2 linked regions of the Arabidopsis thaliana genome follow. The protein of the gene in region 2 interacts with the protein of the main gene of each other region in a pairwise test. Each region holds a gene or a part of one and is shown on either strand. Other genes may lie near its edges.

Region 1 (3,759 bases), on a different chromosome or scaffold from region 2:
CCGGTTATAACTGATAACGATGAGTTAAATTGAAGTATTTCTTTTGTGTTTGAAGCTTACGATTATACTGCTCTGGATAGTGGATGGGCTTGTTATTAGTTTTAAAAGTTTTTGGTGGAACCTGAATTATCATCCGGACCGGCTCCGTTAACCCGAGTTCAAATTTGTTTCCTTTACTACGAAAGAGTAAATAGTGGGACAACTTCATTAACGAACGAACCATAATAGAATTCATGCTTAAAACTAACGGGACAACTTCAAATTTGTTTCTTTTGCTGTTTCTTTAGTTTTCTAAAGAGACTTGATTGAATGGCAATGATCACTAGTTAAACGACTTCTCTGTTTCGCTAGTAAAAACAGAGCTTTTATAGCGTTTTAGGTACAACAATCAATCAATCTCTCTCTCTTTCTATCACTCTCCGAAACAAATTAACGAGACCAAATATTCTTAAACCCTAAAACCCTAATCAAACAAGCAATAAGCTTAAATTAAGTAAAAAAGGAGCAAAAGAAACCGCAAATTAGAGGTACTTTCTAAACACTTTCGATGACATAAAACATAGGAATTTTTCTATACATTACCAAAAAGACAATACCATTTCTCAACGTGGTTCGTGGTCGTCTTCCCTCCGACCCGACCCGTTAGCTCCACCAGACAAAGAAGCAAGCAAATTGAGATGATGACCCGGAAGATAATTCCCAACTCTAGCTGCTGAAGCCTCACCCATTGCAGCTGCTGCGGCGGCGGAAGCTTGCTGTTGCTGCTGGTGGCGGACGAAGAGTGTAGCTGGTTGCTGCTGCTGCGCAAAAACCATTTCCGGTGGAGCTCCGGTTGCAAAGCTCCAGACTTGTCCGAAATCCGGCCTCGCCGGAACAGCCCAAAACCCACCAGAACCACCACCACCCATTAACGAAGTCCCCATTGTGTGTCCCACTGTTAACCCTCCTCCTCCTCCGCCGCCGGATTCTCCTTCCTCCGCTCTGACGACACGTTTCCCGAGAGTAAACGGAGAAGAAGTGGAGAGAGAAGCAGTGGAGAAACTCGCCGGAGTAGTGCCAGTTCCAGTGGCGGCTATGATAGAAGGCTCAGCTTGACGGAGAAGCCACTCTATGGTTTGACCATCGGACTTGTGACCTAACTCTCTGGTCAATTGAAAAACTCGAGCTGCGCAAATGATTGGCATACGAATCCTTCTTCCTCTTCCGTCAACTTTGCTGTGTCGATCTTTAGACGGTGGTTTCTTAACGGCGTTAAGAGGTCCTTTGTTTGACGTCTGCTCGACTATGATGCCGTTACTCACTGCTCCGTCGTTGTCGGCCATGGAATTAGGATTTCGTTATCACTATCTAACTCTCTCTCGAGGAGAAGAAGAAGAAGAAGAAGAAGAAGGAGGTAATGATTTGAGAGGAAGCTAGGCTGGTGGAGACAGGAAGGAGAGCACATGGCTGGTGGGGTCCCACACAGCTCACTTCTGCTAGGTTTTTTTAATTTGTCCGGACGCGGTTGAAGCTCACGCGCTTGACTCCGGTGTTGACTATAGCGTTGGACCACGGTCGGGCAGGAGAATTTAAGTTTTTAGGTTTAGGAGTTAGTTGGGGTCCCCATTTATATGGTTGCTTGAATTACATTAGCTAATTTACGAGTAATTAGGATTCGTAGAAAATAAGTAGCGTTACAAGAATAATATGAATTCGATTTTGGTTTTTACTAATTCTTATTACTTCTGTGACATGTAACCACAACAATGCTGATTTTTACCTTTATTTCTTATCGATAAAATTTGTTTTAGAATGAAGTAGTATATGTTTTATGCTTTGTAACCACAGTAATCATACACGTTTACCTCATGAGTTTAATGCATTTTATAGGATGTAGGGAAATTAGATTGCAATTAAGACAAAAGCTGTTTCCAGTTTCCACAATAGTTGAAAAGATGAGGAATAAGAGACAATCAATGGTGGTAATTGATTGGTGAGTATACTTTACACCTACACTGATTACGATTCTATTTTGTACGATTTTAATTTATTTATTTTTAGTCATTTATAATTTCACATCTACTAATTTGTGATTGTCTCTTATTTTTTATTTTTTATTTAACTTCTAGGATAAATAAATAGCTCAAATAAAAGAAATGACAATTACGCGCTTTATGACACAGGTTACTAATCTGAGTATAACCCAACCACTGTGACCCCCACACGATATGCGTTCGTGTGTGCAATTTGTATAATCAAAATTCTTATTACCCATTAAGCAATAATAAAACAAATCATTCCATTTGGAGCGTGGCATAATAAAAGTAGCCGTGCCCACCTGGCAGATATGCCGATTTTGATATGTCGTTGCGTCGAGATTTTTTAAATTGTTTCGCGACAATAATTTCTTTCATGATGAATATATAATGCACATTATACTATATTATCGTCTTAATATTTGTTATATGATTGTGAAATCCTTTAACAGAAATAATTGTTATGATGATTGCCGTACCCATACGATACAACCATGAGTGATGTTTAAATGCCTTTTTTTAAAAACTATACCCAAGCCAACTTCTTAAAGTTGTCGATATAATACGTGAAGGTGCTATCAAAAGCGATGAAAAGAATATTTTTGTGCATGCTTAAAGTATGATAGATAGTAAAAACTTGAAACTACGACGCACAGCTGAGGAACCACCAAACTAGAGACTCGTAGAGAAATTTTAGTCACATTTCGTAGCTACTTGCTAGGATTCAATTGAACTAGCTAGTTCTTAAAAGAAAACGTTGCCACAAAAGCTTACATACAAATTGTATGATACAATTGACAATTATTAATGACCGGCGCATGTTAAAAGTTATATTGAGTGATTAACTGGGATTTGAATGATTAGTTGTGGGGTTAGCTGGATAAATGCATAGAAATTTTTAATGATCACCAATTTACCAAAAATGCTTATAGTATATTCTAATCTTTTTATTTTATTTTAAAATAGTAATATGTGTACGAATCATTTGACAATTGTCAAATGTGTTAAACAGCTGGAGCCCATTCTCATCTGCCTTTATTTATTAATGGGAATTTGTATAGAATTATTAGTATGGGGGTTGGTGGACGAAAATACAAGAAAGTGACACTTCTGTCAAAAGAGAATCAACTCGTGTTTCATACAAATATCTTCTTTTCTAGTTTTCTCATTTGGCGATGCCTCTCTAGATTTTCTTAGCTTACTCCACCAATCAGAATAATCCACGTCATCTCGTTTTTTTAAACTGAGAGGATCGCTTTATCTTCTGCCATCTATTTGACTAGCGTGACTAAAAGACGTTCAGAGACCAACTCGCTTTGTAGTTTGTTGTATTTGGTATTTGTTTGATACTAAATTACTAATCATGTGAACTGTGAACGATTCTGACTTTGGTATAACTCAAAATTCTCTAGTGACTTGATTTTTATCAAACGATATACATGCAACGTAAAGATTAACGCAAACAATCGAAACTTTAATCCTAATCACCTGTTTAGAACTCGTTACAAATAACTCATAAAACCAGGTTGTTTTAAGGCTCGCTTGGAATGACATTAAAGAAATGGTAGATCTCTTCACTGTCAACTACTCCGATCTCTGTGGAACAAGCTGAGCAAAAGACCGGGTTAACTTTTTCGCTATCTTCAGAACCAGTTTCTTGCATCTCGGAATCTCTCCTTCTTTTACCAACCTTTAAGGGCATTGTATTCTGTTGCAAAACTGTGTCTGTACCTACTTTGCAATT
Region 2 (3,381 bases):
TCTTCATCCATTCTCCACGCGTCGCGTTGACCACGTGGCACTATACATCTTTAAAACTCTTTCTATTTTATTTAAATAGCGAGTGCGTTGTGGGCCATCTTTGTTTTTCTTTGGCGGAGGGGCGGCTAAATAGCCTTTTGTTTTTATTTTAGTTTTATTCCGCGAAAGAAAAAGCAGTCAAACTCCAAGTTGAATTTGGAGCTGAGTCTACGAAGTCACGCATAACGCTCTTTCTTTCACGCGATCGCCGTCGGCACGTGTTTGGCGGTGAGATTCACGCTCGTACATGGAAACGCGGTTCCCAAGCCGCGCGTCCTCAAGGTGTTGCCACGTATTTTACATTTTTGCGTCATCCAATACTGTTCTTTGGTTTCTTCTTCTCTCTTCTTTTCAGGCGCCGCTGCTTAACTTATTTCCTAGTTTTTGAAGTTACTCTTGTCTTTAACTCACACTGCCATATAGTATGACTTTATTTACCTGTATTTTCAAATTTTTACACACATAACAGTATCTTTAGTTGTTTATTGGTCTTACAAAAAATTGGGTATTTTTTAAACCAAAAGTTTTGAGATACGAAAACAAAATTGATATGATCTGAAAAATTAGTTACTCACATATTTGTTCAAGTTTTTTTCTCAATTATGCAAGCATTAAGGTTGATCCAACAGGTTATGAGAAAACAAACTGAGTTCATTACAAGTGTACTCACTAGAGCAAGCTTGTGTAGTTATATCCTAAATCATGAGGGTAAATGGCACATGACAATTCGTAGTTAGATTAACTATATATATTAAATTAAGATGTGGGATTACATTCTTAATTCCCTCGGTTATGAAAATCAAAATCTTATCACCAGCATTCAAGGGAATACGCTGTGTAGACAAAACAGCAAACAACATGCATCTCCATTAAATGCGTCAAATACTGTACGGATTTCTTTAGTTTTTTTGTTACAAATTGTATCAAAAGTTTGTTAGTACATTGTACATACAGATAACAAATGAATTTCACTTTTTAGATAAAATAGTTTACACAAAAAAAAAAAAAAAAGACTTTGCATCCAATATTTTCCACCACAAAATAAATCATTCAAAATACGGATTGATTAAATATGTATCATAGTAAGATCTATATTTCAAAATTTATCCTTATTTCATTAAGAACTTTAATGCAAAGATTACATAGTCCAATTAATTTTCTCATTGCCAAATATTAATAATTAAATTAAAGATCCAGTGATAAAAAGTTTTATTTTAAAATTAAAGTCAATCAAATTAATGTATTTAATTTGTATCTATATTTTTGACAATGTATTCAACTTTTTAAATACATCAATAAATTCATTAATAAGATGATCAACAAAAATTGAAAACGCTTGGTGAGGTTAAAAAAGAAATGAAGGGTTGATAAGAAAAACAAAATTCTTTGAAAGAGGAAAGAAAAACACGTGGCAAAAGATAAGTGGAGGTAAAAAAGAAAACCATGAAAACCGCTGGTGTTTTGTAAGAGAAGCCGCTAAAACCATTTCAGGCTTTGACTGTTCACAACAAAGCGCCCCAAAAGGAGCGTCGCTTTTACTCTCTCTCCCATCCTATATATAAACAACTCTCTCCTTTCCTCTTCTCCCTTCAATTATCTATCACACCACCACTCTCTCTCTAATCTATCTATCCGAGAATGGCCAAGATGGGCTTGAAACCCGACCCGGCTACTACTAACCAGACCCACAATAATGCCAAGGAGATTCGTTACAGAGGCGTTAGGAAGCGTCCTTGGGGCCGTTATGCCGCCGAGATCCGAGATCCGGGCAAGAAAACCCGCGTCTGGCTTGGCACTTTCGATACGGCTGAAGAGGCGGCGCGTGCTTACGATACGGCGGCGCGTGATTTTCGTGGTGCTAAGGCTAAGACCAATTTCCCAACTTTTCTCGAGCTGAGTGACCAGAAGGTCCCTACCGGTTTCGCGCGTAGCCCTAGCCAGAGCAGCACGCTCGACTGTGCTTCTCCTCCGACGTTAGTTGTGCCTTCAGCGACGGCTGGGAATGTTCCCCCGCAGCTCGAGCTTAGTCTCGGCGGAGGAGGCGGCGGCTCGTGTTATCAGATCCCGATGTCGCGTCCTGTCTACTTTTTGGACCTGATGGGGATCGGTAACGTAGGTCGTGGTCAGCCTCCTCCTGTGACATCGGCGTTTAGATCGCCGGTGGTGCATGTTGCGACGAAGATGGCTTGTGGTGCCCAAAGCGACTCTGATTCGTCATCGGTCGTTGATTTCGAAGGTGGGATGGAGAAGAGATCTCAGCTGTTAGATCTAGATCTTAATTTGCCTCCTCCATCGGAACAGGCCTGAGCTTTTAACGGTGTCGTTTCAATTCGAAGCGCATGCGTTTCTTCTTCTTTTTGAGCTGTGAAAATTCGTTTTCTCATAGTTTTTCCTCTCTCTCTCTCTCAGTCTAAATTTATTACCAGTTTTTAGAAAGAAAAAACAGATTAAATCTGAGAGAGAAAAATATAATTTTAGCTGACATGGATCGTTATGTACATATTATTACATAACCGGAGATCTGAACTTTTGTTGTGTGCTTTTAATTTTTTGCGACTTGGTTTCACCCCATGTTGTTTCTCTATTTTTTTTACTACTTTTTTTTTTTTTGTTCTTCCAAATTTTCAATCAATAATTTGGTAATCTTCAGAATTATCTTGTCCAATCCAATTTCCGAAATTTTGATTATTACTACTTGTGGGTTGTGGCGGCTCCTTCTATTGGCTTTCCTTTTCTATCGTTACCACCAAATTAAAAAAATTGAAGGGACTAAAATTACTTATTTGACAAAACAAAATAATTGTAAGTTGAAGTATAAGAAAAACTAAAATTCAAAGTGAGATTAATAAAATGGTAGTTGAGTATCGTCGGCTTTTAACAATGGTCCAAGTTTCCAGCAGACACGCAGCCGGCGTGTGTGGGCCCTCGTTTTGCTCTCTGCGGCGTAAGTTAGAAAATTCTTTGCGCTTACGTCACTTAGTAGTAGGGTCCACTCACAGAGTACGGACATACTCATTTCTTTTCTTTCTAGCTAACTTGGAAGAGTCTTGAAGCTGAGAGTTAACACTCTTTAGGTCTGACAGAGAGAACCTAGATTTTTAATTTGATAGATTCTTAAATTTGGAAAAGAAACTGCCACAAAACAAAGATAAGATTTTGTTCAATTTTTTTTAAGAAAGATCTCTAGTTTCGTAAACAAATTTTTGTCGGCAAAAAATGGAAAAAGAGTACACAAAGTCTCTAAAGAAACAACTATGACTAGTCTAGATATTGGTTTTTTTTATCTGAAAGCTTTTAGAATATATAGCTTATAGTGCAAAATTAATTTTCTTTAAACTATGA

Evidence for each region.
Region 1: the proteins of ERF4 (region 2) and TCP11 interact in binary tests that used the Arabidopsis thaliana proteins (3 or more experiments, as listed by UniProt).

The regions. Positions count from the first base shown.
Region 1 is NC_003076.8:2,678,391-2,682,149, reverse strand, and holds TCP11 (TCP family transcription factor), read right to left. Parts: upstream 1,750-3,759; 5' UTR 1,323-1,749; coding exon 603-1,322; 3' UTR 157-602; downstream 1-156. Other genes in the region: AT5G08320 (E2F-associated phosphoprotein), read right to left, coding at 3,547-3,759. UniProt on the Arabidopsis thaliana protein: Transcription factor involved in the regulation of the circadian clock. Acts as a repressor of CCA1 by binding to its promoter. No binding to the LHY promoter.
Region 2 is NC_003074.8:5,119,795-5,123,175, forward strand, and holds ERF4 (ethylene responsive element binding factor 4), read left to right. Parts: upstream 1-1,627; 5' UTR 1,628-1,677; coding exon 1,678-2,346; 3' UTR 2,347-2,768; downstream 2,769-3,381.